Saccharomyces cerevisiae S288C: one gene and its partners. The gene in region 1 interacts genetically with each later gene. Each region holds a gene or a part of one and is shown on either strand. Other genes may lie near its edges.

What was found.
Region 2: mutations in SWF1 (region 1) and CDC42 are lethal when combined (synthetic lethality), as found in Saccharomyces cerevisiae (5 studies listed by BioGRID, with this or other methods).
Region 3: mutations in SWF1 (region 1) and MSO1 together harm fitness more than expected from each alone (negative genetic interaction), as found in Saccharomyces cerevisiae (4 studies listed by BioGRID, with this or other methods).

What each region holds. Positions count from the first base shown.
Region 1 is NC_001136.10:700,787-705,957, forward strand, and holds SWF1 (palmitoyltransferase SWF1), read left to right. Parts: upstream 1-2,447; coding exon 2,448-3,458; downstream 3,459-5,171. Other genes in the region: YDR124W (uncharacterized protein), read left to right, coding at 1-503; ECM18 (alpha/beta hydrolase family protein), read right to left, coding at 611-1,972; ARO1 (pentafunctional protein ARO1p), read left to right, coding at 3,698-5,171. UniProt on the Saccharomyces cerevisiae protein: Palmitoyltransferase that targets several endosomal SNAREs. Palmitoylates the SNAREs SNC1, SNC2, SYN8 and TLG1, at cysteine residues close to the cytoplasmic end of their transmembrane domain.
Region 2 is NC_001144.5:603,712-606,530, reverse strand, and holds CDC42 (Rho family GTPase CDC42), read left to right. Parts: upstream 1-1,743; coding exon 1,744-2,319; downstream 2,320-2,819. Other genes in the region: BNA5 (kynureninase), read left to right, coding at 1-773. UniProt on the Saccharomyces cerevisiae protein: Involved in development of cell polarity during the cell division cycle, and essential for bud emergence. Affects signaling in the pheromone-response pathway through the STE20 protein kinase.
Region 3 is NC_001146.8:712,523-715,556, reverse strand, and holds MSO1 (Mso1p), read left to right. Parts: upstream 1-1,901; coding exon 1,902-2,534; downstream 2,535-3,034. Other genes in the region: LYS9 (saccharopine dehydrogenase (NADP+, L-glutamate-forming)), read left to right, coding at 169-1,509; YNR048W (putative aminophospholipid translocase regulatory protein), read right to left, coding at 2,746-3,034. UniProt on the Saccharomyces cerevisiae protein: Involved in secretion. Component of the secretory vesicle docking complex.

The DNA.
Region 1 (5,171 bases):
TGTGCACGATAATTATGAATGTTCTACCGCAATCTCCCTTCAGCCTTGAGATTTTGGACGAGCTTACAGGAGTGACCGCCGCAATGACCATTTTTAAGAAAGAAACTGTGAAGAAAGTAATCATGAAAAATGTTTTCGAAATTGCGAAATGCTTGTGCAACAAAGATTTCAAGCAGAAGACCATATCACTTGATGATTTAAATGACCTAGCCCAAAAACAGAAAAAATCATACCATAGTCGTCGATTTGATGTAAATAAAATGGTTAAGGTAGAAAAAGATTTGTTACAACAGTCAAGTGGAAGCGATTCTTCACCCTCGATGATCCTTCCTTCAAAAGAAAGTGACACAGAGTATTTCCCCAGGGAATATCCGAAAGACCCTGTATCGGAGGATTATTCGAATAGCATATCTCGATTAGAAAATTTAGTGGAATTTGATCCGTTATTCCTCACTAAATTGGATGAATTAACTAGTAGCGATGATTGTAAAGATTTTATTTGAGAAAAATTTCAAAGCAAAGAAAAGAGGTGTGAGGAGCGCAAAAGCAAAAAGGGGGATAGCATACATTAACACATTTTTTGGCTCTTTGCTACTTGATTTGGTTGCTATCAAGGCGATTTAGTTTCGTCTGATAAGAAGGACACTATAGATTGGTTGAATGATTCTGGGTTATCTAAAAAAAGATTGTGACCGGAAGAAGGTATTTCTAAATAACTTGCTCCTTCTAGACAGTTCTTTAAATTGTTCAACTCTTTGACCATGAACATACCGGCTTTTTTATTCATCCAATCATATTGCCCATATACTATCAATAATTTCTTAACATTTAAATATTGCAGAGAATCCATCAAGGGGTCCTTTGCTAGGATACATCTTGAAAATAACGCTTTGAAAATATCTGTCGTAACCTCCGGTATACCTCCCTTACCGTAAAACAGTTCAAATATGTACTCTTTGTATGCCAACGATGGGACTCGGCTATATGCCGCCATTATGTAATTCCAACATAACTTAGCTCCTAATGGTCCCATCATTCTCAAAATGTGAAATTGTTGTTCAAATAAGTATTTTGGAATCATATTTCTTTTGGAGTAAAACTTGGAATTTGGATTTTTAAAATCGATAGTATAAAGAGTGTTGGAGTGGAAATTATTATTTACAGACCAGATATTCCTTTCCACTCCTAGTGGGGATACCAAGCAAAGTTTGTTTACCGAGTTTGGATATTTAACAGCATATTTAAAAGATAAATATCCGCCAAAAGAATGCCCCACAACATTCATTTTGCCCAATTTGTTATCAATGCGCCATTGCTCGATTCTGTCGAGATAGAAATCTTCGTACATTTGAATCACAAATTTATTGTGATTTGCATTTATTGTATATGGAACCTTAAATTTATTTTCTCCAATAAATTTGATATCTAACGGCAGAGGTGTTGTTGTATTGATCTCTAAAGACGGTACTGAAGACAATCCGCTCGCTGGCATGTCAATTGAGTATAAATTTCGGATGTGCTTGGACAGACCTGGATAATTTCTGAAAAAAGACATTGAAGATGCGGCATAGCCATGTATCAGCAATGTTGGTGTTCGAACAGTACTTGTGTTTTCATTTTGGAAATGCCATTGATTTATTTCGTTGAATAACTTATCATTCTTTTTAATACCTTCAACGTGTACCTCTTCCATAATACGTCTCTGTAATTCCTCCAGCCGCATATAAGTTTTGTGTGGGTTATTCAAATGGCTTGACCATAGCTTGAATCCAGATTTTTTGACAGCATTTTCCTCCTTGGGTCTAAGAATCCTTTCCAAAATTTTTCTCTGGAGACTCTTTTCACGACGTTTAACTTCCAGTAGGCTTCTATTACTGTGGAACGCTCTCTTCCACATGTAACATTTATATACATTCATTATCTGCCTCCTTAAACTTTCAGGGTCCATCAAGTACCTCTTTATTAAAAGCATTTTTCATTCGCTCATCCTTAAACTGGAAAGGCATAAGGAAACTGTCAGAATATATAAATAGAGGTGTAAAACATGTGAAGCTCTGTGGAGTTCTAAGCTGGAATCGAAACAGTTGTCTCAATTTTAGTAATGTCCAAGGGCTTTCCAGGAGGTCAGTATATTCAAAGCCAAAATAATTAATGTTTTGGTCTGAATTTTTATTTTTCAAAAATGAGGTGAAAACCTCCAACGAAACTTTTTAATTAAAACCATCCGATACAGAATTTTAAATCATCTAAAGCATTTATTCGGCATTTTATCCTTGAATAACGTACTATGCAACTCATATAAATACTACAATATACTTTCTCTTTAGGAAATTCGTAGCTATCAACAAAGGTAGTGTCATTGTATATATACTTCCGCCTTCCTAAAAAAAACTTCATTATGCCTCCAAAGAAGATATCTTTGTCTCCTAACATGAAAAGAACAAACAATGTCATGGAATCTACTATTTGTGCTGCTAATAGGATTCGTAGTTTTGATATTACTTTCGCCCGTCTTCAAGTCAACATGGCCATTTTCGACTTTCTATCGTAATGTGTTTCAGCCCTTCCTAGTGGATGACCAAAAATATCGTTGGAAGTTGCATTTAGTACCTCTTTTCTACACCTCTATTTACCTGTACCTAGTATATACATACCACATGAGAGTGGAGTCTACGATTAAGAATGAGCTATTCCTTTTAGAACGAATACTGATCGTGCCTATAATTATACTACCGCCGGTAGCATTAGGAATTCTAGCCATGGTAAGCAGAGCTGAGGATTCAAAGGATCATAAATCAGGCTCGACAGAGGAATATCCATATGATTACCTATTGTATTATCCTGCCATAAAGTGTTCGACATGCCGGATCGTCAAGCCTGCTAGATCCAAACATTGTAGCATTTGCAACCGATGCGTTCTCGTCGCCGACCATCATTGCATCTGGATAAATAACTGCATCGGAAAGGGAAACTACCTTCAATTCTACCTTTTCCTAATTTCCAACATATTCTCGATGTGCTACGCCTTTCTAAGGCTGTGGTACATTTCTTTAAATAGCACAAGTACGCTCCCTAGAGCTGTTCTGACTCTTACCATATTATGTGGATGCTTCACTATCATCTGCGCTATTTTCACGTATCTTCAATTGGCCATTGTAAAGGAGGGAATGACTACAAATGAGCAAGATAAATGGTATACCATTCAAGAGTATATGAGAGAAGGAAAACTGGTGAGATCATTGGATGATGATTGCCCATCTTGGTTTTTCAAATGCACAGAACAAAAAGATGACGCTGCTGAACCACTCCAAGATCAACATGTTACGTTTTATAGCACGAATGCCTACGACCATAAGCACTACAACCTTACACACTACATCACGATTAAAGACGCGTCCGAAATTCCCAATATATATGACAAAGGTACCTTCCTGGCCAATCTCACAGATTTAATATAGTAAATTGTCATGCATATGACTCATCCCGAACATGAAATTTTTTTTCACTCGGTTTTTTCTCACCGCCATAGATTCTAACCGCAAATGTCGAACAAATTCATTATACAAGCGGTTTATTAATATAGAAGGTAGGACGCCGACTCGTAACCATTAGTAACAGATCACAGCTATACTCGGTCGTTCAAGTTTATATAATCTCCTAGTTGAGAAATCCCTACGTAAGATAATTGTATATTACGATGGTGCAGTTAGCCAAAGTCCCAATTCTAGGAAATGATATTATCCACGTTGGGTATAACATTCATGACCATTTGGTTGAAACCATAATTAAACATTGTCCTTCTTCGACATACGTTATTTGCAATGATACGAACTTGAGTAAAGTTCCATACTACCAGCAATTAGTCCTGGAATTCAAGGCTTCTTTGCCAGAAGGCTCTCGTTTACTTACTTATGTTGTTAAACCAGGTGAGACAAGTAAAAGTAGAGAAACCAAAGCGCAGCTAGAAGATTATCTTTTAGTGGAAGGATGTACTCGTGATACGGTTATGGTAGCGATCGGTGGTGGTGTTATTGGTGACATGATTGGGTTCGTTGCATCTACATTTATGAGAGGTGTTCGTGTTGTCCAAGTACCAACATCCTTATTGGCAATGGTCGATTCCTCCATTGGTGGTAAAACTGCTATTGACACTCCTCTAGGTAAAAACTTTATTGGTGCATTTTGGCAACCAAAATTTGTCCTTGTAGATATTAAATGGCTAGAAACGTTAGCCAAGAGAGAGTTTATCAATGGGATGGCAGAAGTTATCAAGACTGCTTGTATTTGGAACGCTGACGAATTTACTAGATTAGAATCAAACGCTTCGTTGTTCTTAAATGTTGTTAATGGGGCAAAAAATGTCAAGGTTACCAATCAATTGACAAACGAGATTGACGAGATATCGAATACAGATATTGAAGCTATGTTGGATCATACATATAAGTTAGTTCTTGAGAGTATTAAGGTCAAAGCGGAAGTTGTCTCTTCGGATGAACGTGAATCCAGTCTAAGAAACCTTTTGAACTTCGGACATTCTATTGGTCATGCTTATGAAGCTATACTAACCCCACAAGCATTACATGGTGAATGTGTGTCCATTGGTATGGTTAAAGAGGCGGAATTATCCCGTTATTTCGGTATTCTCTCCCCTACCCAAGTTGCACGTCTATCCAAGATTTTGGTTGCCTACGGGTTGCCTGTTTCGCCTGATGAGAAATGGTTTAAAGAGCTAACCTTACATAAGAAAACACCATTGGATATCTTATTGAAGAAAATGAGTATTGACAAGAAAAACGAGGGTTCCAAAAAGAAGGTGGTCATTTTAGAAAGTATTGGTAAGTGCTATGGTGACTCCGCTCAATTTGTTAGCGATGAAGACCTGAGATTTATTCTAACAGATGAAACCCTCGTTTACCCCTTCAAGGACATCCCTGCTGATCAACAGAAAGTTGTTATCCCCCCTGGTTCTAAGTCCATCTCCAATCGTGCTTTAATTCTTGCTGCCCTCGGTGAAGGTCAATGTAAAATCAAGAACTTATTACATTCTGATGATACTAAACATATGTTAACCGCTGTTCATGAATTGAAAGGTGCTACGATATCATGGGAAGATAATGGTGAGACGGTAGTGGTGGAAGGACATGGTGGTTCCACATTGTCAGCTTGTGCTG
Region 2 (2,819 bases), on another chromosome or scaffold:
GTGTTCAGTATTACACGGGGCAATATTTCGATATTGGCCGAATCACCTCATTTGCCCACCAATTCCCCGACATATTGGTTGGATGGGATTTAGCACACGCTGTAGGGAACGTCCCATTGCAACTTCATGATTGGGGTGTTGACTTTGCCTGTTGGTGTTCTTACAAGTACTTGAATGCCGGGCCTGGTGGAATTGGTGGCTTATTTGTCCACTCGAAGCATACTAAACCAGACCCTGCTAAGGAAAGTTTGCCAAGATTAGCTGGTTGGTGGGGCAATGATCCTGCTAAGCGATTTCAAATGCTGGAAGTATTCGAGCCGATTCCAGGAGCATTGGGATTCAGGCAATCTAATCCAAGCGTTATTGACACAGTGGCATTGAGAAGTTCATTGGAATTATTTGCGAAGTTTAATGGTATTAATGAAGTTCGTAAAAGATCGTTGTTGCTGACGAACTATATGACGGAACTGTTGGAAGCCTCCAAGTATTACAAACACCCTTTAAGGATCGAGAAATTACCATGTTTTTTTACAATATTAACTCCAACAAGCACAGATGAAGAACATGGCGCCCAATTGTCACTTTACTTCGATTCTGACACTGGAAAAGAGGATATTATGCCCAAAGTTTTCCAATATTTGCATGACCATGGTGTCATTGGCGATGCAAGAAGACCAAACGTAATTAGATTGGCTCCTGCTCCCTTATATAATACATTTTCAGATGTATACATTGCGGTGAATGCACTAAATGAGGCGATGGATAAGTTGTAGTCCTAGAGTGACCGCATCGCCTTCATCTTCTTTTGGATATTATATATGACGTAGTTTGAAATTCGTATACTTACTGATAGCGAACCTATAAATTTATACTTTCTTTCCAAGAATTAAAATAAATATCTGGGCCCGTGTATTACTTACCAGTTGCCGTGCATAGTCGTGAATCTTCTTTCATTTATCAACCTTCTTCCAATAATGAAGCTAACTTATCAGTGGTAGTACTGTTGAACGAAACAAGCCGGAACTCAAAAGGGTAATTTCGTGAAAAACAATCATCTACGGTATAAATAACAATTTAATTTACGTCTCTTTCGAAAATGCTCGTGTAGCTCAGTGGTTAGAGCTTCGTGCTTATAGCAACATTCGGTTTCCGAAGTTTCTGTGCCAAAGACCTTTCAAACAGGCCTTTAAAAGCAACGCGACCGTCGTGGGTTCAATCCCCACCTCGAGCACTTTCTCTTTTTTTTTTAAAAAAAGTTGCATTATTTCTATCAACTGTTGTAGCTACGTTACACCTAATTTTGTATTGTAGACTGTTAGATAATCCACATATACAGGTAAATACGGCACATTGTCTTCTAAACATCGCATTAAAGATGTCTTCCACCGTCGATTCAAGGGTCATTCAATACGGGTAATACTGCTTCCATTGGGCCCTTCCAAATGAAACAAGATACGGGAAAAAGTGATAAAAAAAAGCAAACAAGGTTGATTGATCGATGATAGACGCGATTCTTGGAAAAGGCAAGAGCAGCGTTTTGATAAATAGGTTCCAGGTGTACCGAGATATACTGATTATCCTTCTCTGTCATTCTTCACTTTTTGCAATAGGTTTCCTTTGTCGCAAAAAATTATATTCGTTATTTATTATACTATTCTATTTTCCTGAGGAGATAGGTTAACAAACGAATTAGAGAAGCAAAACTTATAAAACAAGAAATAAACGTATTAGCTCTTCCACAAAATGCAAACGCTAAAGTGTGTTGTTGTCGGTGATGGTGCTGTTGGGAAAACGTGCCTTCTAATCTCCTATACAACGAATCAATTTCCAGCCGACTATGTTCCAACAGTGTTCGATAACTATGCGGTGACTGTGATGATTGGTGATGAACCATATACGTTAGGTTTGTTTGATACGGCCGGTCAAGAAGATTACGATCGATTGAGACCCTTGTCATATCCTTCTACTGATGTATTTTTGGTTTGTTTCAGTGTTATTTCCCCACCCTCTTTTGAAAACGTTAAAGAAAAATGGTTCCCTGAAGTACATCACCATTGTCCAGGTGTACCATGCCTGGTCGTCGGTACGCAGATTGATCTAAGGGATGACAAGGTAATCATCGAGAAGTTGCAAAGACAAAGATTACGTCCGATTACATCAGAACAAGGTTCCAGGTTAGCAAGAGAACTGAAAGCAGTAAAATATGTCGAGTGTTCGGCACTAACACAACGCGGTTTGAAGAATGTATTCGATGAAGCTATCGTGGCCGCCTTGGAGCCTCCTGTTATCAAGAAAAGTAAAAAATGTGCAATTTTGTAGTCATATTAGTATATGCCCATCTTTTCTTAATCTATATCTAAAATTAACTTATATATACACCTTCCTATCCTTTTATTATCGTTGTATTTCATTTTTTCGCTTTGCTCAGAGTTGATTCTCTTTGTTTCTTGCGCCAGGATCATCCGTCTGTTCAAGGCGGAGTAGTGCAAAAAAGTCGAGCCGTCAAGCCCCAAACGTTCAATACTTCCATGTTCTTCAACGCTAAACGCGACATTTGCGAGTCCTACCACGTCTTCTCCGTTTACGGGCAAAAACACCTCTTAACATCAAAAATTTGGCTTTCGTGCTTTTTTCTGAAATATATTCGTTGCATAGACACGGTATGCATATGAAACATTCAGGCTAGCAATCAATACTTAAACCCTTTACGGGCGTGCATGATGTATCAGGAAACCAGTTTGAGAATGTCGCCCACCAAGCTCCATGGAAAGGCGCAAACCAATTACGCGGAACACAAAAATGGGCCTTTTTTTGATCGC
Region 3 (3,034 bases), on another chromosome or scaffold:
GAATTTCCAATGGAATTATCAGCAATAGATGATAGAAAGTAGCACAGAATTTGGCTTAATGGTATATAAACCGTAGGGTCCTGGTAAAATTACATGGGAAGGATCCTTAGGCAGTAGGGAAAACTTATCAGGACAATTGAGTTATATTAACGTATTATATATTTTAATATGGGAAAGAACGTTTTGTTGCTAGGATCTGGTTTTGTTGCACAACCTGTTATCGACACATTGGCTGCTAATGATGACATCAATGTCACTGTCGCATGTAGAACATTAGCCAATGCGCAAGCATTGGCCAAGCCCTCTGGATCCAAGGCTATTTCATTGGATGTTACCGATGACAGTGCCTTAGACAAAGTTCTGGCTGATAACGATGTTGTCATCTCTTTGATTCCATACACCTTCCATCCAAATGTGGTAAAGAGCGCCATCAGAACAAAGACCGATGTCGTCACTTCCTCTTACATCTCACCTGCCTTAAGAGAATTGGAACCAGAAATCGTAAAGGCAGGTATTACAGTTATGAACGAAATTGGGTTGGATCCAGGTATCGACCACTTGTATGCGGTCAAGACTATTGATGAAGTTCACAGAGCTGGTGGTAAGCTAAAGTCATTCTTGTCATACTGTGGTGGTTTACCAGCTCCTGAAGACTCTGATAATCCATTAGGATACAAATTTTCATGGTCCTCCAGAGGTGTGCTACTGGCTTTAAGAAACTCTGCTAAATACTGGAAAGACGGAAAGATTGAAACTGTTTCTTCCGAAGACTTAATGGCCACTGCTAAGCCTTACTTCATCTACCCAGGTTATGCATTCGTTTGCTACCCAAATAGAGACTCTACCCTTTTCAAGGATCTTTATCATATTCCAGAAGCCGAAACGGTCATTAGAGGTACTTTGAGATATCAAGGTTTCCCAGAATTTGTTAAGGCTTTAGTTGACATGGGTATGTTGAAGGATGATGCTAACGAAATCTTCAGCAAGCCAATTGCCTGGAACGAAGCACTAAAACAATATTTAGGTGCCAAGTCTACTTCTAAAGAAGATTTGATTGCTTCCATTGACTCAAAGGCTACTTGGAAAGATGATGAAGATAGAGAAAGAATCCTTTCCGGGTTTGCTTGGTTAGGCTTGTTCTCTGACGCAAAGATCACACCAAGAGGTAATGCTTTAGACACTCTATGTGCACGTTTAGAAGAACTAATGCAATATGAAGACAATGAAAGAGATATGGTTGTACTACAACACAAATTCGGTATTGAATGGGCTGATGGAACTACCGAAACAAGAACATCCACTTTAGTTGACTATGGTAAGGTTGGTGGTTACAGTTCTATGGCCGCTACTGTTGGTTATCCAGTTGCCATTGCAACGAAATTCGTCTTAGATGGTACAATCAAGGGACCAGGCTTACTAGCGCCATACTCACCAGAGATTAATGATCCAATCATGAAAGAACTAAAGGACAAGTACGGCATCTATCTAAAGGAAAAGACAGTGGCTTAAATAAGAAGAAATGTATCAAAAGGTTTATCATACGTAACAGTAACGGCACTTTATAAATCTTTCTTTAGTATTACTTATACTTTCATAAGGAAACGTAAAAAAAAAAAAACCGGAAAGAGGGACAAAATGGACTAGAACGTAATTGAGAGTGTAGTTCCTGAAGCTTGAACCGCTAGTAAGTCGTCTACCTTTAGTCTAAAAAGTATTGGCTATTGCATTTTATAGTCTTGCTTCTGATCAGAACGTATTAAATGAGCTCGTAAAGACTCTTAGGAGTTTTTCACTTTTAGAGATTAATACTATTAGGAAAGGTGCAAAAAAATAAAACGCCAACTAACTATTAGACGCTAGGCCCTAATACCAACTACCAGTATAACTAAGATTTCACGCATATGATGAGTCAAGTATCGCATTCCCAAGAAGGATCCGGGCGATTTTGGAACAAGTTTAAGTCGTCAACCAAATCGTTATCTACATCGTTGGCACATTTATCCATTAAAGCAGAAAAAGATGGTGATACTGTAAATACTACATTGGTCCATAAAGGGCTTGTGAAATTCTATGAAAATCAGCATCCTTTCCAGGGGTTCCCAGGATGGTTGGGGGAGAAGGAAGATTTACCGAACGAACGTAAAATATTAGATACTCAAGTGAAGCATGATATGAAGAAGCAAAACTCGCGTCATTTCTCGCCATCCTTTTCTAACAGAAGGAAGGCTTCTTCAGAAGATCCTATGGGTACACCTTCTTCAAACGGGAACACACCGGAGTACACGCCTGCGAGTAAATCGTTTCAAGATATATACAATAATCATACAAGCTCCTCTAGCGCGACACCGAGAAGAGCTTCATCACGGCCGACTAGACCTTCAGCAGGCCAAGAATTCAGGGCAAGTCTCGGTCGAAGTAAAACGTCGAACAGTTTCAACACCTCCAGCACGCCAACGCCGCCACCAGACGCAAGTAGTGGAGTAATGGCAATGAAGGACAGACTAAAGAGACGCAATAACGATTATGGATTTTAAATAGCACTATACCTTGCTGAAATAAAGCGAAAAGAACATTTAATGAATATATAGGTATCGTATATGTACTGAATAAAGTGTTTGATACAGAATGCAAGGAGATAATATAGTATGGTATATAACCTCGTCCTTATTTTGAATATACATGAAATTACAACGCTTCCCTAGAGACCGAATCAAACGCAGGGATTTTATAGTAAATGATAATCAATCATAAAATTTCTCTCAATGGAATACTAACGACACTACTCTCATCGAATGGGGTATCGCTGTTCTCAAAATTTAGGTAGCTATGATCATGCATAGGTCTTGGTTTGAAGATGACTTTTATCAGGAATAGTATGGCGAAAAGAGTTGCAATCCCGGCAACAATCAAATAAACAATCCCTAATGCCTCGTTTCCAGCACCGATAATACTGTTTGTGGTTAATACAAAAGATTTTGTTCCATAGAAAGATCTTACTGGGTAGTTGAGTTCTATATCAGCAATGTAAATACCC